Macaca mulatta: one gene and its partners. The protein of the gene in region 5 purifies or fractionates together with the protein of the main gene of each other region. This does not show direct contact. Links are inferred from orthologs where the notes say so. Each region holds a gene or a part of one and is shown on either strand. Other genes may lie near its edges.

The links.
Region 1: the proteins of CLGN (region 5) and SLC12A6 purify together in Homo sapiens (affinity purification with mass spectrometry; 3 studies listed by BioGRID and IntAct, with this or other methods). This does not show direct contact. The link is inferred for Macaca mulatta from reciprocal best matches to the Homo sapiens genes CLGN and SLC12A6.
Region 2: the proteins of CLGN (region 5) and SLC30A1 purify together in Homo sapiens (co-immunoprecipitation; 3 studies listed by BioGRID and IntAct, with this or other methods). This does not show direct contact. The link is inferred for Macaca mulatta from reciprocal best matches to the Homo sapiens genes CLGN and SLC30A1.
Region 3: the proteins of CLGN (region 5) and SLC12A2 purify together in Homo sapiens (co-immunoprecipitation; 3 studies listed by BioGRID and IntAct, with this or other methods). This does not show direct contact. The link is inferred for Macaca mulatta from reciprocal best matches to the Homo sapiens genes CLGN and SLC12A2.
Region 4: the proteins of CLGN (region 5) and TCTN2 purify together in Homo sapiens (affinity purification with mass spectrometry; 3 studies listed by BioGRID and IntAct, with this or other methods). This does not show direct contact. The link is inferred for Macaca mulatta from reciprocal best matches to the Homo sapiens genes CLGN and TCTN2.

The regions. Positions count from the first base shown.
Region 1 is NC_133412.1:11,448,268-11,453,166, forward strand, and holds part of SLC12A6 (solute carrier family 12 member 6), read right to left. Parts: intron 4,351-4,899; coding exon 4,109-4,350; intron 1,433-4,108; coding exon 1,218-1,432; intron 1-1,217.
Region 2 is NC_133406.1:69,311,331-69,315,237, forward strand, and holds part of SLC30A1 (proton-coupled zinc antiporter SLC30A1), read right to left. Parts: intron 3,090-3,907; coding exon 2,188-3,089; 3' UTR 1-2,187. UniProt on the Homo sapiens protein: Zinc ion:proton antiporter that could function at the plasma membrane mediating zinc efflux from cells against its electrochemical gradient protecting them from intracellular zinc accumulation and toxicity.
Region 3 is NC_133411.1:137,044,516-137,049,968, forward strand, and holds the start of SLC12A2 (solute carrier family 12 member 2), read left to right. Parts: upstream 1-1,645; 5' UTR 1,646-1,811; coding exon 1,812-2,561; intron 2,562-5,453. UniProt on the Homo sapiens protein: Cation-chloride cotransporter which mediates the electroneutral transport of chloride, potassium and/or sodium ions across the membrane. Plays a vital role in the regulation of ionic balance and cell volume.
Region 4 is NC_133416.1:131,117,892-131,122,790, reverse strand, and holds part of TCTN2 (tectonic-2), read right to left. Parts: intron 3,209-4,899; coding exon 3,143-3,208; intron 1,627-3,142; coding exon 1,492-1,626; intron 1,230-1,491; coding exon 1,152-1,229; intron 1-1,151.
Region 5 is NC_133410.1:149,271,776-149,276,674, reverse strand, and holds part of CLGN (calmegin), read left to right. Parts: intron 1-1,909; coding exon 1,910-2,023; intron 2,024-2,140; coding exon 2,141-2,291; intron 2,292-4,077; coding exon 4,078-4,293; intron 4,294-4,899. UniProt on the Homo sapiens protein: Functions during spermatogenesis as a chaperone for a range of client proteins that are important for sperm adhesion onto the egg zona pellucida and for subsequent penetration of the zona pellucida.

The DNA of each region.
Region 1 (4,899 bases), on a different chromosome or scaffold from region 5:
AAACATAGTGTTCTTTTTTTTTTTTTTTTTGAGACAGAGTCTTGCTGGAGTGCAGTGGCACAATCTCGGCTCGCTGCAAGCTCCGCCTCCCGGGTTCACACCATTCTCCTGCCTCCCGAGTAGCTGGGACTACAGGCGCCCGCCACCACGTCCCGCTAATTTTTTTTATTTTTAGTAGAGACGGGGTTTCACGACGTTAGCCAGGATGGTCTCTATCTCCGGACCTCGTGATCCGCCCACGTCAGCCTCCCAAAGTGCTGGGATTACAGGTGTCAGCCACCTTGCCCAGCCTCTTTTTTTTTTTTTTTTTGAGACAGTCTTGCTCTGTCACCAGGCTGGAGTGCAGTGGCACAATCTCGGCTCACTGCAACCTCCATCTCCCCAGTTCAAGAGATTCTCCTGCCTCAGCCTCCAGAGTAGCAGTAGCTGGGACTACAGGTGCACGCCATCATACCCAGCTAATTTTTGTATTTTTGGTGGAGACTGGGTTTCACCATGTTGGCCAGGATGGTCTTGATCTCTTGACCTCGCAATCCACCCGCCTTGGCCTCCCAAAGTGCTGGGATTACAGGCGTGAGCCACCGCGCCCAGTCAAACATAGTGTTCTTTCTTATCTAATTTAAATATAATTTGACAAAATGATTTGGTATATACAAATACAGTTTAACTTTACTAATGCAAATTAGTAAAAGTTAAACAGACTAAAACTAAATGCCCCACAAATCCCATTATTATTTATTAGTCATCAACACTGTTTCTAACACCTTAATGTAAACTTACTTATGTGCAAAGAAATTTATAGACCAAACATTTATAATAGAAGCCACTTAAGGAATGTTTCAGGAATTTAGCTAAGTTAGGAAGATACATGTGGATGTGGACATTAAAATAGTTCTATTCTGTCAGTGCAGGAAGAACACTGGCAATTTTACAAGAATGCACAGAATAATTTATCCTAAGATTAGAAAGTGATTTGCTCAACTCTGCTCTGAAATGGAGGTGAATTTTAGCAGACATCACTCTGTAAAGGAGTCCTGAATAAGGACAGCTTTACTAATGGAAAAGCAGAAATATGCTGAATTAAGAGCTGTGTGGTATGCTTAAGGAAATTAGCACCATGGCAGTGAATCTTTATGGACAGCAGAAGAATCTAAGATGACAAGGCCTATTTTCCCCAGAAAATAGGAAAAAACTTGTCCAATAACTCCCTAACTTACCTGTAATGATACCACTAGCCAATCCAGGAATGCCCTGGATTGAAGTGACATTATTGTGAACAAAGTATTCATCACAGGTGACATTGAAAAATTGACTCGAGTTACAGAAGAATCCCCATAACTTTGATGGGACTGTCATGTTGTTACTTTCCTTGGTTTTAGAGCAAACGTCAATGTGTCTTGATGAAAGGGTGCGGTTACCCAGCATGCAGACCCTAAGTGAAAAGAAATAGGGAGAAAGATCAAGTAAGGGAAAAAAACACATTACAAAAGAAAAAAAGGAAACAGGTTAGTAAAGGAAACAAGAACCCCATCTTTAAGAGCTTCTACTGTCATGGGTGGGAAGGGAACTAATGTTTATTTATTTATAATTTATTTTAGCACTGTGAATGGCGACTTACATTTTCTGCCAATTTAATCCTTACAGCAACCTCACAATGTATTAGAATTTCTATGTTGTGGATGGAAGCACTGAAGTTTAGGAAGTTAGGGAGTTAATTGAAGGTTAGGGAAATACAGTTATCTGTCCAAGGTCATAGGTGGTAGGTGGCAGTGAAGGAACTCAAATTGAAGAACTGTCTGAAGACATTATGCTGACTCATCTTCCAAAATTTTTGGCTAAAATTGTTAGGTCTAAAAGAATACTGAAGTTCTTTTGTTGTTCTTATAAAGAAAAAAGCACTCCTCTTTTTTTGGCCTAGAAAAGCCTTACATTCTTAACAAACCCCTTGAAAATGTTATGCTAAAGGTTGAATCTTCTGGCTACTGTTGCAAGGAAAACAGCTTGGCCAGAATTAAAAGGCAGATCCCTCTATGGCCTAAGAGAAAACTGTTTTTGAACTTAAGCCTAGACCCAGTGGGAGTGAGGGTAAGGATAACACAAATATTAACCTGCTGGTTTTATTTTTTTCTTTAACCCAGAGACACAAATATAAACAAAGGAATAATACATCCATAGTTAAAATACCTCTCAGGTCCAACAAAGGGACTTTTAAAATCTGTAAAATGATTGAATACATTATTATGAACCATGTACCTATTACTCAGCTTCAACAACTCTCAACATTTCTCAGTCTTGTTTCATGTATTCTAGATTTTTTGTCTTGTTTTGCTGGAATATCTCAAAGAAAATACCATGCATTATGACCGTGTACTAATCAAAAAAGAGGAGAAGTCCCAAAGGTGAACCTGAGACAAAATGGAATTTCCCAAATTGAGATATAACCAGAATGTCAGCTTTAGAAATTGTATGACCCTAGAAAGGACCTTCAGCTATATTACAGTCCCTAGATAAGCAGATTAAAAGTTTAAGATGGAATCTTCTTCTGCCATCATGTAGCGTGGCACAGAAGAAATACTGAATGGGGAGTCAGGAAATCACAGTTCATCTTCTTGCTCTGCCATTAATTAACTTTGAGGTAAGTCATTAAACCTATTGGAACTGTCTTTTTGTCTTGAAAAATCTTTTTTTCTGTAATCTGTTTAAATCAACATAGAACCAATGAGTTTGATCCTCAGATAATCCAGATGACTCTTCAAGATAATTCTGTAACAAAACTACAAATAACACTCAGTGCCAGCTAGTCCCTATGCCACTAGTCAAAGGGAAAAGGGAGCCTGTGAGTCACAGATCTGCACAAATCCATTACTACTTCAAAAAACATACTTTAAAGTACTTGCACTAGGGAGTTGAAGGAGGAGGTAAATGGTGAGAGAGTACTTAATGGGTACAAAGTACATTATTTGGGTAATGGATAAAAGCCCTGACCTAGGCTGGGCGCAGTGGCTCACGCCTGTAATCCCAGCACTCTGGGAGGCCGAGGTGGGCGGATCACTTGAGATCAGGAGTTCAGGACCAGCCTGGCCAACATGGTGAAACCTCACCTCTACCGAAAATTCAAAAATTAGCTGGACACGGTGGTGTGTGCTTGTAGTCCTAGCTACTCGGGAGGCTGAGACTGGAGAATCACTTGAACCCAGGAGGCAGAGGTTGTGTGAGCCAAGATTGCACCACTGCACTCCAGCCTGGGTGACAGAGCAAGACTGTCTCACAAAAAAAAAAAAAAAAAAAAAAAAAAAGAACTGGGTGTGGTGGCACATGCCTGTAATTCCAGCTAATTGGGAAGCTGAGGCAGGAGAATTGCTTGAACCCAGGAGGCTGAGGTTGCAATGAGCCAAGATTATGCCACTGCACTCCAGCCTGGGCAACAAAGTGAGATTCCAACTCTTAATAAAAGCCCTGAATTCACCAATACACAACATGTGCATGTAACAAAATTACACCTGTACCCCCATAAGTTTATACAAATTAAAAAAAATAAAATCAAGGTTGAAAAAAGTAGCTGTATTATAGTATGTAATATTACATATATAGAGAGATGCATGCAAATTGTACAGTATTTCCCTTTATGACTAGTCCATTACAATACTGACAGAAAAAAAAATTTAATTAATTAAACATTTTAGGTAAGATTTTAGGTTTCTTTTGACTCCCCTGATTTTTCATTAGTAAAAGAAATCCAACATTTAAATACCTTATAAAGGCTGCTGGCAATAACTACACTGTCTGCAAAGCCCTTTATGAATAGTTCAAAATATGTATAATTAAAAAAAGATTATGTACAATTATCAGGGAGAAAAAAATCTAATATCTGAACATAAATTATGGTTACAGTTACTAGTTCTATGTTTGGGACATAAGAAAGAGGATGAACAGGACATAGTTTGCTGGGAGGCTTCCTGCCTAGATGGGGAAGGAACTCTAAATGGGCTTATCCAAGAGGGAAAATCTCGGAGAGACTCCATGAAATTCTGACTTAAAATTATCACACCACCAGATATTTTCAATTACTACCCAACAAAGATGGCTAGGCAGAGAGACAGACACGTACGGGAAGTGTGGAGGGGCAAAAGAAGACTTGATGGCTCCAGCATAGATGGCCAAGATGGACACAATGACACAGGCCAGGAAAAGTGAGGCAAACTTGTTCACATAGCGTACGCCGATAAATACCACTAATACCATAAGGACCAAGAAAGCTGTGCCATAGACACGCATGTTATTTAGCATGGCTGCTGATTCCTTGAGTGCATCATCACTGCGAAAGATGGCAGCCCGGGGGACGATATAGACCTGTTAGGTAAAATAAAGGAGAAAATTATGTTATTTAGAAAGAATTAAGTAAAAAGGCTGTATTCGTTTGCATTTACTTTCATAAAAGAAAGCAAAGCTGAGAGACAAAATGACTGGGGAGTTAGCCTAGTTTCTAATAGGATCTGAAATGCCTGCAGAAATGGGATGTCAAGGATTTTTTTTTTTTTTTTTTTTTTTGTCTACATGCTGTTCTGAATAACTACATTTCCAAACGGAGAGAAAGGAATTATTACTTTTATTCATAGGGTTATATAAAGTAATTATGATTATCTTTAACCCTGATTCTACTATCACTACTTTAAATAAACAATATGTCTCAGTGAATAGAGAAATGAGAAGCATTTTATTTCACAGGGATGAAGATATTAAAAAAGATAAACTTTATTTTACTTTTTCCCCACTGGACTTGAACCTCCTGGATGAGGTGGCAGAGTGGTGGCAATCAGGTAGAAATCAGGAACGCAGGCAAAGGGAATTGCAACCTTTCCACCTCATGTTCACGTAAGAGGCCAACTGAGGTTAGCAGTC
Region 2 (3,907 bases), on a different chromosome or scaffold from region 5:
TGAAAAAAGAAAATCCTATGGTACCACCGTTATATATAAGCTACTTAAAAATTATGAAAAGTGAAATAACTAAAACCTAAAGGCTGTTATCTTCAAAGCACTTTTGAAAAACAAACATAGCCCTTGTCTCATGCTTATATACCATTTTTTAAAATCCTCATTCAGTTGATGTCTTACACTTAGGCGTTATACCATCTTTAAGACACAGACCTCGAGTAGAGCATTTGTAAAAGAAAACCTCATTGAATGTAATATATTTTATCAGTTATCTTTGTATCATTGCTGAAATGTTTATATAACAAATTGATATCTGAATAAAATGTTCTGTAAAATATTAAATCAGGAATGTACATGATACAATACAATTCACAGCTTTCTCTTCTCGTTCGCCCAGATGAGATCCCTCAATTTCACGTTTAAAAAAAAACCTCCCAAGCCTTTTCGCAAAATTCATGGTAACTATCAGTTTAGGAATTGAATTACACAATATCAGATAAGAATATTAAAAGATCAAGATGTATTGCAAACTGGCAGGTTATGGTTTTGGCCCATTATAGTAAATGTGAACTTACAAACTGTGTTCCTAAAATTACCATATTTTCATTGGAAAAAATCAGCTGTTCTTAAATAGGCCCATTGCCAGCAATAGGCTTATACTAGGAAAAACACACACCACAAAAGATCATCCCTTTAAAAAGTTAACTGTCAAATCCTAACACTTTTCCCTCTTACAACCCATTAAACAATGAACTATTTTAAATCCCAAAACATAGCCATCCCAAAAGTAGTCAGCTATAAAAGTTAAGTAGTCAGAATACCTTGTTTCTAGAAAAATAGAGCTATACATAACTGATACTAATATTCATCCTTTCAAGGACAAAAATCTAATTTTGTCACAAAGTATACCCTCTATCAAGAAAAATATAACTTAAACACCCTTAAATAATATTTGTGTTGGATTTGAAATCTATAGCAATAATGAAATAGCCACAAACAATTTTCTGTGTAGATATTGTGGCATCTTGCAAAATAAGCCACTATTGGAAGATCTGAGTATGTGAAGACAGGATGACTTACAAAATCTTAATTAATTTTGCTTTAATTATTAATTTTGCTCTCTAAGAATTTAATATCCAAACTGCATTAACCTTCCGGTTTTCTTTTCTCTCAATTCAGTGGCTCTTAGAAAGCACAAGCATTGCTGGTTGTGCTCAAAAAGCTCCATTTAAATCCATTCATGATTGGTTATCACGAGATGACTTTGAAAATTTCTTTTCAAACACCCGGTTTAAAAGATTACATTAATAGTTTGCATTTAGCATGTAATTATTAGGTGTCAACATCCTTAAAAATACTTATATATTTTGTGAGTAAACTTGCAGCTCAATGTTTTTATACCAATCTTTCAAAGAAAGTAATGCTGGTGAACATGTCCAAGTTTCAGATTAACTTTGGTAGAATAAAAAGTTGAAATTCTCAAAATAATTTAGAAATGTAGTCTCAATATTATCATACAATAACCTAAATATTTAGTTTGGTAAACTTTCTTCCCTGCTCTTACTACCCTGTTTGCCCTATTGTGTGTAAACTGTAGTTCAATTTGTTAATTATCTTACTGTTTAATAGTCAGCAATACAGAATACAGGATAGTAACTGATCTTATTTCCTACTAATAGCCATGAGTCACTCTTAAAATATGCTGCCATTATGCTATGTAATGATCTCAAAGGGCAATATTACCTAAAATGTCAAAGGAAACAAACTGTTGATGATTTTAAAGTTCTATCAGTTATAATTCTAAGAAAGTGTAACACTGGGGGAAAAGAAAAGCAGAGAAATTCCAGTAACAATTTTATTTATCCCCCTAATTTTTATCATGGGAAAAATCCAGAAATCAAATGTCATTATGTTATATAAGGTTTAACTTACTTTAAACAAAAATGTAACATAGTGTTAAAACTGGCTTTCCAAAACAGTCACAGCATAGCTGTACTCTGTACTAATAATCACAAAGTTGTAATATAGAACTCTGTTATGCAGTCCCATTATGTTCTTACAAAAATAGAATTAAACTGTGTGACCAGACAAGGACTTCAATTATACTACTTGGCAAACTTAGAATTTCAATGGAGTCTTTTTCCTCTTGCAGTTTAAAGCAAAAGTCAAATATCACCTCTTTTTCAAGACTCACAAAGATGATTCAGGTTGTTTGTTTGGCATATTTTTAATCTCTATCACAACAGCAGGGATGTTTTCGGCTTTAGTCCTCCTGGGTTTCTTCTCTAGATTGTTACTAAGTTCTAAACAAGAAATGCTAACTGTTGGGGTCTTTTCTGCATCCTTTCCAGAATGGGCTTGTGGTAGTGTCCCACAACATTGCTTCAAAGCACACTGAGTTCTGCAGGCAAGTTCACACGGGACTACACTTGATTTAGAGCCTACACTAGCAAATTCAGGCTGAATGGTAGTAGCATGAATTCCGTGATTATGAAAAACGTCTTTAATGGTTTTAGCCACCTCCATGTATGATGTTGGATCTTCACATTTTATGTGAGCAGTGGCAATGATTCTGCTTCCAGCAAGCTGCCAAACATGTAATTCATGAACTTCCTCAACTCCTTCAACATTTCGAAGTTCTTTTATCAAATTTCTGATATCAATTTGTTTAGGAACAGTTTGTAGAAGAATCAGAGCAGATTCCTTAAGTAATGGATAGGTTGTGTAAAGAAGTATACAAACCATTACAACACAAAGAGTTGGATCTAAATATAGCACCCAGCAAGGACCAGCCTCATAAACTGATGCATGAGTACTATTAATTATTTCTACAAATGCTTTGCAGGGGTCAGGGAAACACGGGTTCACACAAAAATCCCCTTCAGAACAACCTTTCCAAGAAAAGTAAAAGACTAAAGCATTTACTACTACAATCACTGAACCCAAGGCATCTCCAAGGACATGCAGAAAAACTCCACGCATGTTAAGTTGTCCAGCCCTATCTTCTTCCAGTTCCACATGGTCAGGCTCTCTGATAAGATTTCCATTCACTTGTACTTCCACTGTATCACCACTTCTGGGTTTTTCTGGGTCTACAAAGAAATAAAAATTTTATAGCAAATACATTTAAAGTGTTTATATAAACATCCTCGTCTAATTCTTTTTAAGTGGTGATGAAGGTGAAAATTTTTTCACAAAGTACAATTAAAAAAATATGCCCAGAGCAATTTAATATAAATTGACATTCTGGGAACCAGCCAGGACATAATGGCCAGGGCTAAATTAAGTAATTGTGATACGGATTCTTCACCCTCCTAACCACTCTCCTGCCTCCTCCTCTCCAAAAGAGTATCTTTTCTATGGGGGTGGAGTCTTGCAAACATTCTGCTATACTTTATGGCCTATACAAAGGAAAACATAAAATTGAGTGCTAACACCAAAATTAAATGCAGCTAGGAATAAGTCTACTAATACAAAATACCTGATTTGACACTTGGGCACTCTCTAGTCACTCTTTGTCACTGAGGCCAATTGCTTGAGAATAAAACCAATTTTAACTTTTAAACTTTTATTATGAATACAAAAGTTTCTTGGTAGAGGGGGTTTAAAAACTGACAAATCAACAATATAAATCAATAATCACAGAGATTATTAGAAAAATTGAAACTAAATGACTACCTCCCCTACTTTTAAATAAAAAGTATTGATCTTTTCAAGAAATTACACACCAGAGAAACTTAATTTTCTTTGGAATAACACCTTGCCGAGTGGAGTGAGAGGAAAACCAATTACTTATTAAATCTGTCCAATGTACAACTTAATTTCACTAACCTGATATTCTGCACTTGGAAAGGAAAATTATGTAGCAGTATTTATAATGATACAAGGTAAATAAACGTAAGTGAAGGAA
Region 3 (5,453 bases), on a different chromosome or scaffold from region 5:
AACCCGTCTCTACTAAAAATACAAAAAATTAGCCGGGCGCGGTGGCGGGCGCCTGTAGTCCCAGCTACTCAGGAGGCTGAGGCAGGAGAATGGCGTGAACCCGGGAGGCGGAGCTTGCAGTGAACCGAGATCGCGCCACTGCACTCCAGCCTGGGGAACAGAGGGAGACTCCATCTCAAAAAAAAAAAAAAAAGAAAAAGAAAAACAACAACAAAAAACCAAACAAACAAATAAAGTACATAAATAAAAACCAAGTGACTGGAGGACGCCATTGATTGATTTTACTTAGGGCTTTGGGCATAAACTAGGTTTAAAAATTTCTGCTGCTGAGAAAGTAGGAAAACAGTTATATTCCCTTACATTTTACCGAAGAGAAACTAGACCTGCAGAGGAGTACCTTTCTGTTTCTATATAAACAGAGGCATTTTGCACAACCCAAATCACGCAGAAACCTCCTGGTAAGGACTTCACGGGTAGTTATTGCCGGCATTGTATTCTGAGAGATGAGCTTCATATCACTTCTGGAAATGCCTTAAATTAAAACTCATCTTGAAACAACATGACGTCTCAACGAGGCTGCCTTCTCACCTTGGAACATCAGGTTTTAAAATAAAGGTGTCATCAGAAGTGTGGAGACACCCACTGCATCACAACTGGAATCAATCTCTGGTTATGCTAACCTAGGTCTGCCGAGCAGGGTAAGTCTACTGCTCGAAAGCGGCACAGAGGAAATCCTCCCACCCCTGGGTTCAGGCCCGGAGTTACGAGCGGAGATTCCCGGCGGCGTGCCAGAGCCCAGAGCAAACCCGGCTGGGGAACGCACCTCGCCCGCGGCTCCGGAAGCGGCTGCGGCCCCGACCGGAAAGCCCCCAGCATCGCCCGCAGGAATAGCTGCGAGCCTGCGGCTCCAGCCCGGCCTCGGGTACCACGCGCCTAGTGGGAAGCGGCACTGACGCCTGCAGCATCTCGCGAGATTTCCGGCTCAGCCCAAGTACTGCGAGTTCATCAAAGAGGAGGAAAAAAAAAAAAAAAAGCCAGCGGGCGAGAGCCTCTGAAGTCGTGGCTGGGGCGCTGGGGTGGCAGCTTCCGCGGGAGCATCAGCTACCGGCGTGAGGCAAGGCAGGGCCAGCGCGCCGTTCGCAGCCCCGTTGCCTGGGCTGCCGGTTCACTGACGCGCGGCCCCCGGGTGGAGAGAGGGGAGGCGGCCTGGGAGCCCGCTCCTTTTCGCCGCAGAGCGCGGCGGGGGAGGGAGGTGAAGGCGTGGGAGGAGGGCGACGGAAGAGGAGGTAGCGGCGTGGAGATCCTCCCGGCGACATCACCGAGGCGGAGGGCGGCCGCGCCTGCTCCCAGATCGCGCCGTTCGTGCTGCCCGCACTGCCCGAGGCCCGGCGCGGGCTGGCTGGCCGCGATCCTGGCACCGGCCGCTTTCGCGTGGGGTCGCGCAGGAGCAGCGGAGGGCCGGATCGCTGAGTGAGCGTCAGCCGCGCGCCGCTGCGGGACCGTGGGTGGGCGGGCTGAGAGGCGGAGGAGCCTCCGGCCCCGCCTCCCGCGTGCTGCTGCCGGAGCCGCAGCAGCCACAGCCCCGCCGAGGCTTTAAACAGCGGGGCCCGCCCCGCGCCCGCCACACTCGCGCGCTCGCTTGGCTGCCAGTGGCGTCTGTGCCGTCCCAGCTAGAGGCGGCCAGCGGGCGGCGGGGAGAAAGACTTCCTCACCTGGTCTTGCGGCCGTGGCCACCGCCGGCCAGGGGTGCGGAGGGCGTGCTGCCGGAGACGTCCGCCGGGCTCTGCAGTTCCGCCGGGGGTCGGGCAGCGATGGAGCCGGTGCCCACGGCGCCCTCCTCCGGCGCCCCGGGACTGGCCGGGGTCGGGGAGACGCCGCCAGCCGCTGCGCTGGCCGCCGCCAGGGTGGAACTGCCCGGCACGGCTGTGCCCTCGGTGCCGGAGGATGCTGCGCCCGCGAGTCGGGACGGCGGCGGGGTCCGCGGGGAGGGCGCTGCGGCGGCCGGGGACGGGCTGGGCAGACCCTTGGGGCCCACCCCGAGCCAGAGCCGTTTCCAGGTGGACTTGGTTTCCGAGAACGCCGGGCGGGCCGCTGCTGCTGCGGCGGCGGCGGCGGCAGCGGCGGCGGCTGGTGCTGGGGCGGGGGCCAAGCAGACCCCTGCGGACGGGGAAGGCGGCGGCGAGAGCGGGCCGGCTAAAGGCAGCGAGGAAGCCAAGGGCCGCTTCCGCGTGAACTTCGTGGACCCGGCTGCCTCCTCGTCGGCTGAAGACAGCCTGTCGGATGCTGCCGGGGTCGGTGGCGACGGGCCCAACGTGAGCTTCCAGAACGGCGGGGACACGGTGCTGAGCGAGGGCAGCAGCCTGCACTCCGGCGGCGGCGGCAGTGGGCACCACCAGCACTACTATTATGATACCCACACCAACACCTACTACCTGCGCACCTTCGGCCACAACACCATGGACGCTGTGCCCAGGATCGATCACTACCGGCACACAGCCGCGCAGCTGGGCGAGAAGCTGCTCCGGCCTAGCCTGGCGGAGCTCCATGACGAGCTGGAAAAGGTGAGCTCGCCCGGCCCTCCCTTCTTCCCCAGCCCCTGGTGCATGCCGACCGCGGGATGTGGCTGCAGACTCTTCCCGAGTTGAGGTGGCAGGAGTAGACATGCACGACTTGCTGGCATCTCTGGATTCAGCTGTCAAGGGTGGAATTGCAGAGGAATGTAACTTAATCTCTTAAAAAGTTTGTAGCGGGTTTGGCTAGTTAAGTGATACTGGAGGGCTGCTTTTAACAACCTTCCCCATCCAGTTAGGTATCTCGTGTGCACTTTGTTTCCCACCCACGCTTAACAGTCACCACCCCTCTGAATGACAGTTGTGTTTGTGGGCCCTTGAGAAGAGAAGGTGCAGGAGGTTTAGGTGAGGACCTCTCTCGGAAGAGGTTGGAGAGCACCTACCATCTGTGTCGTTTTAAAAGATTGTGTTGTGTGGCTTATGTACGCCTATTAGGGATCCCAACAGTGGGAATGTTGGTGTTGGAAGGAAAATCTTAACAGGGTGTGTTTGTGGTCTATGAGTTATTAAAGCTTAATTCTTGCAATCTTGAATATGCAAAGGATCATAGAAATCTTAAATCTTGGGACACTCTGTTCCTGATAATGGCATAACTCTTTTTTTTTTTTTTTTTTGCAATGAAAACGTTTTGGGAGAGGTGTATATTTAAAAAATTAGGGAGAGGGGCGAGTCTTTAAAGAAAAAAGGGAAACGGGAGAATTGGTTTTTCTGTAGAAGATGACCTGGAAGACCTCTGGGGTCTTTACAATAAGCAGTTACACTTTGTAAACAGAAAACCATCCCCATAAACTCATTGATTTTTGTAATTCTGTTTTTTTATGGTCACATAAGACTGTTATTTCTTCAGTGTTCAATATAATTGTTTTGAGATAACATTTATGCTTTTGAAATTTCATTAATGTTTAACTTTTTTATGAGCCGGAATTACTTGAAGTCTTCCTTTACAAGTGTGTAATGACTACATTGATGGAATTTTGTAAACGCCAGAGGATAGTACCACATAGGTTGAAATGATCATAGTGTGGAAAAGTTTAAATCCAGTATGTGATTTCTTTTGGATATGATTATTTGATCTCATACAGTGATTTCATACAAGACTGTACTTGTCCCAGTGTTTGATAATGTAACATTCACACAGAGGTAATTACAGAGGCCCCAACTCTTACAGCTTATTGATTGTTTAAAAGCCTGAGATCATTTGGCTTTAGATAATATTATTGTTCCATTGTGGTATTTTATCATAATCAGAAGCAAAACAATGTCTAAAACATTTTTTATTCATACTTCTGTAGTTTCTATCAAGTCTATTTTTTCTTTTCAAAACCCAAAAATCATTGTAGACAAAAGTAGATATGAAGCTAGCAATTTTCCTTTTCTTAGGACGTATTTACTAATGAAAATATTATACAGATATATTTTAGATTTATTTTACCAAAGCTAAGTAGGTGAGCAGTAAAGTGATCTGTATTTACCCATAAGTTTTAGAAAGACATCCAGTTGAAAGGTATGTATCTTGAGCATATATGCTTCCTATGGGAGTTTTTGGTATTTTGTATTAAATGATCTCAGTAACAAAGCACTTAAAGTTCTCCAAAGCTTTAGATTTGTGTGTCTTTGTGTTTTTCGCTTGGCTTTTTGGTTCAAAGTGTCTAAAAAACAACACCTGTATTGTTTGTTGTACGGCAGTTGAAGAAATCACCCAACCTCTCAGCTTCAGCTTTTCAGGGTTATTATGAAGATTAGAAAAAAAGTGCAATAAAAGTGACCATGTTCAGTGCCTGGAAAATAATAGCTAGTTGTTATTTCCCTCTTATATTGGCCCTTCAGAAGACTCTAGGATCTCAATTTTAGATTCTCTTAATTCTTATGTTATTAGATGAATATAGTATATAAAATGTTATGTTCAGTTTCATTTATGCAACAGGTAGTTTAATTCTTTATAGTTTTTTACCTTCTGCCACTCATAATCTTTATGGCCACTGTTTTCTTGGCTTAACTAATAACTACATGTTGAAGATAATTTTGGTTAGAATTTTAGCAGATGGATTAAAGAAATGGGTGTTAAGTAGTACAATTATGACTATACACCACTGTCGAAAGACGGGCAGACAGTAGGGGTGATAACAGGTTGGCTGGATTCCCAGAAGTTGTCCCTTACTCTGTCTAAATTGACTTCCACCTCTCTAACACCTCTAATGCTTCTAGCCTTCAGTGAATTATAATATTTAGAATTTTTATAACACCTAATTCTAGCAGTCGATTGATTGACATATACTCTACTTTGGTCTACTAAGTGCGTAATTATCTACCATGGGACTAACTCTGTGTTGGGAACTGTAGAAGAACAAAAGAAAGTAAAAGACTTCAGAAACTTGTTAGGGAAAAGGACTGGATTGTCTTTCCTCCAGTTGAATTCCTTTCATTATCCATCACTGACTTTAAAAGTATTTTATCTAGATGTCCAACTGTAGGGGAATAGATAAATATCCTTGGCACATCTTGCTATATTGTATAGCCATTCTAGGACCAGTAGGTATGAGTTCTCCATTTATTAAATAGTTATTGGGGAAGGTGGTATCTTAGATGTTGACAACATGGTTGTGACACTGTGGGATTACACGGTGATTAGCAAACCAGTTACTGCTTCTGCCTAGACAGACATTAACAAAATAGTTGGACAAATAATATAGTTAATAACTGTTTTTTAAGTATTATGAAAGAAAAGGATACTTGTAAAGATGTAATAGGACCTAATTTTAATTGGGTTTTGGGAAGGCGTTTTTTTTTTTGAGAAGTATGACATTGAAGCTGAGACCTGAAGGGTAAGTTGATGATTGGGTGGAATGACAGTCCAGACCAAAAGGACAGCGTACGTGAAGGTAA
Region 4 (4,899 bases), on a different chromosome or scaffold from region 5:
TTTTTTTGAGACAGTGTATCACTCTGTTGCCCAGGCTGGCGTTCAGTGGTGTGATCTCAGCTCACTGCAAACTCCACCTCCCAGGTTCAAGCTATTCTCCTGCCTCAGCCTCCCAAGTAGGTGGGATTACAGGCGCCCACCACCATGCCCAGCTAATTTTTTTGCATTTTTAGTAGAGATGGAGTTTCACCATGTTGGCCAGGCTAGTTTCCAACTCCTGACCTCAAGTGATCCACCTGCTTCAGCCTCCCAAAGTGCTTAGACTACAGGTATGAGCCACTGCACCAGGCCATAACCTTTCAATAGAACCTTTTTCTAGTAAATCCATTCAACCCCAAGGTCTGTTGTTAGAACATATTTCCATCCATCTCGTATTAATCCAACTTACTGCTTCCAATATTTTACTATGAAAATGTTCACATGTACAGAAAAGTTGAAAGTAATACCATGAACACCAATACAGCCACACCAAAATCAACAGCTGTTAACATTTAGCCATATTTGTCTTAACTGTATCATACAGGTGTTGAGCATTTCTTATCCGAAATGCTTGAGACCAGAAGTGTTTGGGATTTTTTCAGATTTTGGAATGCTTGTGTATACATAATAAGTGTATCTTGGCTGGACGCAGTGGCTCAAGCCTGTAATCTCTGCACTTTGGGAGGCCGAGATGGGCAGATCACTTGAGGTCAGGAGTTCAAGACCAGCCTGGCCAACACGGTGAAATCCTGTCTCTACTAAAAATATAAAAATTATATTAAAGTGAGCAACCCTGCAAGCCTCCCTTTGGAGAAGTAGCAGATGAATAAACCTTCCTGTGTTGTGTGATTTTAAAAAAAAATTTGCCAGGCATGGTGGTGTGTACCTGTAATCCCAGCTACTCAGGAGGCCGAGGCAAGAAAATCTCTTGAACCCAGGAGGTGGAGATTGCAGTGAGCCGAGATTGTGCCACTGCACTTCAACCTGGACAACAGAGCAAGACTCTGTCTCCAAAAAAAAAAAAAAAAGAGAGAGAGAGAGAGAATAAAGAAAAAGGAAGGTCAGAGTCAGAAACTAAAATTGGAGAGAGTTACTTATAACCATCCTGATGGCTGGGAGTGTTGAACTAAAGTACGTTTGTAAGATCAGTGACTGGTATACACTCATCTTACCTGGATTTCCAGATAATTCTTCTTCATTACCACTATTATAGCTTAAAAATTTTACTACAAATCTCTGTGTCATTATCCCTAGAAATAAAACAAAATAAAAATATAATGTGCACCATTTCACTAGGAAAAGAAATTATTTTCCATAGTGCTTTATCTTAAAATTGCATTTTGACATTCAAAGTATACTCTCGTTGATTAAATCATAAAGAAACAAGAAACAAGTCTTGCACATAAGAAACAAGTCTAACTTAATTTTATGGGTTATAATTATGAGAATCTTGAAGAGAGAAAAAAAAATACTTTTCAGTGAAAGCATGTTTGCTACCCTCATTAAAGTTACCTTTCTGGTGGGCATTAATCTCTGCCCTAATAATTCTGACATTGATATCACTGATGGTATTATTATTCCATTTGAAAATATAATGTTCTTCCACATTCACGATTCTGGGGGCTGATCTGTTATTTAAAGGAGTTTCTGCAAATACAAGAATATGTTCATAAATTAAAGACCGTCTTTGAGCCTGACTCTATTACTGGGACGTTCTCTCTGCTTGCGTGGCCTTTCCCGAATGCCCTGCCCCGCCCCTGCCCTTCCTATCTCCAGCTCCCTAACATGGCATGGTCACTGCTTCCTTGAGGAAGCCTGCCCTGGTCCCATCAAGTCACCATTAGCTGCCTCCCCTATGCCGTCATGGTACCCAGAATGAGATCTGTTCCTTTCATTTCTATATCCCCAGCACCTGGCTCATAGCTTGCCATGGAGCACACACTTGGTAAAATGTTTGTGAGATGAAAGACCAGAGGGTCAGTTCCGCCAGGGCAGGGGCCCGCTGTCTAGTTCTCTATTACAGCGTAGGAACTCCACTAACATTTGATGAGCTAATGAATAAATTTGAGAAGTACAACACATCAGAAAGAGACACCCAGCACTTGGGGAGGCCGAGGCGGGTGGATCACCTGAGGTCAGGAGTTTGAGACCAGCCTGGCCAACGTGGTGAAACCCGATCTCTACTAAAAATACAAAAATTAGGCCACGCACGGTGGCTCACGCCTGTAATCACAGCACTTTGGGAGGCCGAAGCAAGCAGATCACGAGGTCAGGAGTTCAAGACCAGCCTGGCCAACAGAGTGAAACCTCCTCTCTACTAAAAATACAAAAAATTAGCCATGCATGGTGGCAGGTGCCTGTAATCCCAGCTACTCAGGAGGCTAAGGCATGAGAATCACTTGAACCCGGGAGGCAGAGGTTACAGTGAGCTGAGATCACCCTACTGCACTGGGCGACAGAACAAGACTCTGTCTCAAATTAAAAAAAAAAAAAGAAAAGAAAGAAAGAAATAGTATCCTTCATTAAAAATTAAAGTTCTGGTAAAATTAGCCAAACTGGGCCAGGCACGGTGGCTCACGCCTGTAATCCCTGCACTTTGGGAGACCAAGGCAGGTGGATCACTTGAGGTCAGGAGTTTGAAACCAGCCTGGCCAACATGGTGAAACCCCGTCTCTACTAAAATACAAAAATTAGCCGGGCATATGGTGGCAGGCACCTGTAATCCCAGCTACTTGGGAGGCTAAGGCAGGAGAATTGCTTGAACCCAGAAGGTGGAGGTTGCAGTGAGCCAAGATCGCGCCATCGCACTCCAGCCTGGGCGAAAAGAACGAAACTCCGTCTCAAAAAAAAACAAACAACAAAAAAAAAGAATTCTTTAACTATCAAACATTTAAGGAAAGTTTCATGGAAGCTGGAACTAGAAGGGACGGTGGAACTCAGAGAATCCAGGACCGTGGAGGAGCAGGCTTACCGTCACAGAGAGCACTCTAAAGCCCAGCAAGACAGAACGAGGAACAAATGAAATGCGCCTGGCAGATTTTTCTAACGATTGTGAACCTTTTTAAATGACTAACAAAAATACATACTCTGGGGGTATATGTTACTTGTAAGAAATGACATATCTATTTCTGAAGAAATGACGTCAAAGTGTAACATTAAATACCTCTATTGGTGATGAATTTGTCTAGGTCAGTTGCTTCCTCATAGATTACTTTTGGTGTAACTGTGCCTAAAGAGAGAACATAAAATAACTTCCACAGGCGTACACATGGCCTATCATGATCACACTAAGTCAAAGTATAGTTGATCAAGCAAATATGGTGACCACAACTGCCCAGAGTGGTGACTACAAAACTCTCCCCACTCCCCAAAAACCATCAGATAGGAGTCCCCGTCCTCTTAGTGTCTAATTATAACTGAGGAGGAAAATCCACAACAAACAAACAAACAAACAAAAACCAGGGTCACTGACATAAAAACAAATATGCAGTTCACTGCTGGTGGCAATACAAAATGGTGCAGACACTGTAGAAAACAATTGGCCGGGTACGGTGGCTCACGCCTGTAATCCCAGCACTTTGGGAGGCCGAGGCGGGTAGATTGCCTGAGGTCAGGAGTTCGAGACCAGTCTGGCCAACATGGTGAAACCTCGTCACTATTAAAAATACAAAAAAATTAGCCAGGTGTGGTGGCACACACCTGTAATCTCAGCTACTTGGGAGGCTAAGGCAGGGGAATCGCTTGAACCAGGGAGGTAGAGGTTGCAGTGAGCCGAGATCATGCCACTGCACTCCAGCCTGGGTGACAGAGCGAGACACTGTCTCAAAAAACAAAAATAAAAACAAAAAACACAATTTGGTGGATCCTCAAGAAGTCATACTAGCATGACCTGTCAGTTCCACTCCTAGGTGTCTACCCAAAAGAAATAAAAAGATACATCTACGCAAAAACTTGGCCATGAGTGTTCATGGCAGCGCTATTCACAACAGTCAAGAGATGAAAACAACCCATATGTCCATCAGCTGATGAATGGACAATGGACAAATACAATGTGCTCTGTCCATGCGACAGACTACGATTCAGCCATAGAGGAATGAAGCGCTGCCATGCGCTACAACACAGATGAACCATGGAACACCATGCTAAGTGAAAGAGGCCAGAGACAAAAGGCCACACAGTGTATGCTTCTGTTTCTGGGGAACACCCAGAATAAGCAATCCATGGAGACAGGAAGCAGACTGGTGGCTGCCAGGGGCTGAGGGAGGAGGGGTAGGGAGTGACTGCGAATGGGGACAGATGCCCTTCTGAGGGGATGAAATGTTCTGGAACTAGAGAGAGGTGATGGTGGCACAACAGTGTAGAAGGTACTAACGTCAATGAATTGTACACTTTAAAATGGTTAATTTTGGCAGAACGCAGACGCTCACACCTGTAATCTCAGCACTTTGGGAGGCCGAGGCAGGCGGATCACCTGAGGTCAGGAGTTCAAGGCCAGCCTAGCCAACATGGTGAAACCCCATCTCTACTAAAAACAAAAAAATTAGCTGGGCGTGGTGGCGTGCACCTGTAGACCCTGCTACTTGGGAAGCTGAGGCAGGAGAATCGCTTGAACTTAGGAGGCAGAGGGTGCAGTGAGCTGAGATCGCGCCACTGCACTCCAACCTGCGCAATGGAGCGAGACTCCGTTTCAAAACAAACAAACAAAAAGGTTAATTTTATGTTATTTGAATTGTACTTCAATTTCAAAATAATTAATATGCAATATGCTGTCTTATGGAACTAAACTTTGTCCAAAGAAAATAATTGGCAGTTAAAATATTATTTGAAGTTGAACCAGTAGAAATGATTTATACTCTCATGAGATCGCACTTTATCTTCATGTTTGGGTCTGCGTTCTTTTCTCAAAGAAATGTCACATAC
Region 5 (4,899 bases):
ACCACATATAACTGCCTCATTCTGATTGTTGAAATGTGTTAGAATTTGTTTTACAAAGTACTAAAAGAAATGCTCCATTAAGTTTTAACTTTTGGTTGCTCTGAGCACTCAGAGACTCAAGATGACATTGATATCAGGCAAACACAAATCTGTACATTTGTAGAGTTCATTTTTTCTGTTTATTTTGTAATTCATTTGGAAAATCATGAAGTGGCCTCTTGTTTAAAATGTCTATCTTTCTGTAATGATGAAAATTATATTAGTAGTTCAGTACTTTATGTTTACATACTTTAGAATTTACTAAGTGTTTTGTTTTTGTTTTTGTTTGAGACGGAGTCTCGCTCTGTCACCCAGGCTGGAGTGCAATGATGCGATCTCGGTTCACTACAGCCTCTGCCTCTGGGTTCAAGCAATTCTCCTGCCTCAGCCTCTTGAGTAGCTGGGATTACAGGCGTGCACCACCATGCCCGGCTAATTTTTGTATTTTTAGTAGAGATGGGGTTTCACCATGTTAGTCAGGCTGGTCTCAAACTCCTGATCTCGTGATCCGCCCACCTCAGCCTCCCAAAGTGCTGGGACTACAGGTGTGAGCCACCACACCAGCCTAAGTGTTGTTTTTAAAATGAAAATACTAGAATTAAATAAGCGGGGTTTAAAAAATTATATTGAATAGGGAAGAACTTTCCAAATATAAAATCCAAGAATCCTTTAAAAATAAGTTCAACTACATGAAAATAAGTGATTTGTATATTGCAAAAAAAAAAAAAAAAAAAAACAACCCTCCGTAAACTATTTCAAAAAACACACAAGAACCAGGAAAAATTATTTTCAATCATATAGCTGACAGAGAGCTAATTTCTTAATATAAAGGTGATGAGCTAAGAAAAAATAGTTTTTATGTATCACTTATGCTACTAAATGTACATTCAAAGTTCAGTGAGATACCAATTTTCACCTATCACATGGGCAAAAATCAAGAAGTTTGGTAACACTCTTCACAAAGACAGGAGAAAATAAGTACTTTTGCATGCTGCTGGTAGAACTGGAAATGGAGTGTAACCATTATAGAAAGTAATTTGGATGCTACTATCAAAATTTAAAATGTCCATAATCTTAACAATTATATTTTCACAGGTAAGAAATGGCATATATTCTAGGACATTCACTGTAGCATTGTTGGTATTAATAATAGTAAAATTTTGGAAACACTAAATGTCCTCCAAGATGAGATAAGCTAAATAAATTATGGTATATCCTCAAGTAGAAAACTATGCAGCTGTTAAGAATGAAGCCAGATATATATATACACATATATATATATGTGTGTATATATATATGGTCCAGCCAGGCATGAGCATGGTGGCTCTCTCTACTAAAAATACAAAAACTTAGCTGGGCGTGGTGGCAAGTGCCTGTAATCCCAGCTACTCTGGAGGCTAAGGCAGGAAAATTGCTTGAACCCAGAAGGCAGAGGTTGCAGTGAGCCAAGGTCGCACTATTGCAATCCAGCCTGGGCAACAAGAGTGAGACTCCATCTCAAGCGAAAAAACAATAATAATAATGGAGCTCCTAGAACAGTCTTAACACATAGTAAGCATGCAATATATATTTGATGAATGAGTTTTTAAGTAACAAAAGCAAGGTCTAATATATTATGTATAGAATGCTATCATTTGTATTAAAAAAGAATGTATACATGTGTACATGTATGCATAGAGCACAATGGGGAATATGTACCAAAAATTGGCAAGTTAGCAGAAGATTTAGGTGGGTGGTAGATGAGGACAAATCACAGGCACAAACAAAAGGGAGGGAAATAATTTTATGTGGTACCTTCTGAGTGTTGTAACATATGCATTTTTAAACTTTTTGAATAATTAGTAATTAATATAAAACATTGTATTTACAGGGATGAAAGTGAACCTGCCCAAATAGAAGATTCAAGTGCTGTTAAACCTGCTGGCTGGCTTGATGATGAACCAAAATTTATCCCTGATCCTAATGCTGAAAAACCTGATGACTGGTAATTACTTTTCATCTTTAAATGTCGATTTTAAATGTTTCTTACGTGCATTTTTGTTACTAGTTTATATGACTGATCTGAGACTTGAGGTTACTATATTTGCTTTAATATCCTAAGGAATGAAGACATGGATGGAGAATGGGAGGCACCTCAGATTCTTAATCCAGCATGTCGGATTGGGTGTGGTGAGTGGAAACCTCCCATGATAGATAACCCAAAATACAAAGGAGTATGGAGACCTCCACTGGTCGATAATCCTAACTACCAGGTAACAACCGCTTGTTCCAATTCTTTAGTGAAGTTAAAAAGGTTGTGATCTTTTCTGTTTAAATATCTAATTATCTATGTTAACTTTTGGAAGTTTCATTTTTAAGATGTCAGAGAAAATAGACCCCAACTAATTTATATTTTAAAAGTAGAGCATCAGTTATTTAATTTTCTGGGGAAATAAATCACTTCATACTATATTCTTCCTGAATTATCAGTTGATGTTCACTTTGAAATAAACTTCTATTTTAGAAGTAAATATAAGAAGTAAATTCTGATCAAATAGACACACATTGTACATTTTAGTAATTAATGCCTGTGCTTAATTAATGTACTTATTCTTTAGTATTATTAAAATTCTGATTTTTGGCCGGGCACGGTGGCTCACGCCTGTAATCCCAGCACTTTGGGAGTCTGAGGCGGGCAGATCATGAGGTCAGGAGATGGAGACCACCCTGGCCAATATGATGAAACCCCGTCTCCACTAAAAATACAAAAAATTAGCCGGGCGTGGTGGTGCACACCTGTAGTCCCAGCTACTCGCGAGGCTGAGGCAGGGGAATCTCTTGAACCCTGGAGGTGGAGATTGCAGTGAGCTGAGATCGCGCCACTGCAGTCCAGCCTGGCAACAGAGCAAGACTCAGAAAAAAAAAAAAAAAAAAGAAAAGAAAAAGAAGAAAACAAAAAACCCTGGTGCGATCTTGGCTCACTGCAACCTCTGCCTCCTGGGCTCAAGTGATTCTCCTGCTTCAGCCTCCCAAGTAGCTGAGATTACAGGTGCGCCCCAGCACACCTGGCTAATTTTTGTATTTTTAGTGGAGACAGGATTTCACCATGTCGGCCAGGCTGGTCTCGAACTCCTGACCTCGTGATCTGCCCACCTCGGCCTCCCAAAGTGCTGGGGTTAGAGAAGTAAGCCACCGAGCCCGGCCCTGATTTTATTCTGATATCAATCAGACATCTTTTGAGTGTACCTAGCTTTTTATATTAAAAGTTTTTATGTTATCCACTTAACCCTCTAGTTTTATCTTTGTAATTATTTATGGACACGTTCTAACATTATATATATACAGTTTCATATTCTAATTACTCACTGTAGTTTTTATTAAAAGCATTTAACACAAAATATTTCTTTTGGTAAATATTGTTTAATGTCTGTCTCTTTTATTCTACTTTAAACTCCCTAATACAAGAACCATGTATGTCTCCATCATCTGGCATAGTGCCTGGTCCAGAATACATACATGTGATGGCGGAGTGACTCAATGAGCAATAATGTTGTTGAATGTATTTGATTTAATTGACAGTTTAATCATTTAAGATCTAATGGAAGTTTTATGTTGAGTAGTTGTGCTGAGAGTCAACCATACCTGATTAATGATATCTGTCATGGGTATATGTTAAATGGAGTAACTCCATTTTTGCTATACAATAATCTTTCTGATTTGGACAACTTGAGTAACATTTTGCAATGAATTTTACTAAATCTAAAAATTTGTCTAAAATAGACAAATTGTGAAATTTATTCACGTTTCTGTTTATGTTGGATTTTCCCTTTTCCTTTTTTTGCAGAATTTAAAATCATTATCCCTCATAGGAAACATCGGGTACACAGCAAAAAGAAACAATATTTTATTTCCAGTATGTTACTAATGAATTAATATCAGTTAAAGTTTTCTTTTTTCCAGTTAGCATTGTGAATTTCATTCAACAGCAGCTATTTATTAAGCAGCATTTATAATGAAGTTATTTTATTTGAAAATGTCTTCAATTACTTTTTCTTCCAGGGAATCTGGAGTCCTCGAAAAATTCCTAATCCAGATTATTTCGAAGATGATCATCCATTTCTTCTGACTTCTTTTAGTGCTCTTGGTTTAGAGCTTTGGTCTATGACCTCTGATATCTACTTTGATAATTTTATTATCTGTTCGGAAAAGGAAGTAGCAGATCACTGGGCTGCAGATGGTTGGAGATGGAAAATAATGATAGCAAATGCTAATGAGGTATGGTGTTGACCAATAACAGTAGTGATATAACTATGAATAATGATAATAAGATTTGGTCTTGGTTGTAGGTTATTCAAATGGCTCTTTTAAAGGCAAATAAATGTGCAATAATTACTAAATGCCAAGGAAATGTGTTTGAATAAGTTTATGCAGACAAAATATTTTGCTTTTTATGTTACTTCATTATGAACTACATATGCATATGTAAGTCCTCATTTTATTCATTGAATTATAATATCTCTAATGGGATTTAATGCTTATTTACTGTTTATAGAAGAAGATTACTTAATATCTTTGTCATCTTGCCAATTCAAGACCTAAGTGATAATGATAATCTAAATATTACTGTTTATTTATTTTAACTATTTTTTACTTAGAGGAATGTACAAATAATTTATATTTTAACATTATTAAATTCTGTTCCAGTTTTTTCCCAAAATCTTTTAACACTGTTTAGAAAAGGTTAAGCTAAATATTTCAACACAATGCATCTTAGAAAATATATCTTTAAATTCAGTTGCTATAAAGAAAAATTCTTACCTTACATTTGGTTCCTTGGGTCACTAGCGAAAAACCATCAAAAGAGTAGGTAAAGAGGGATTC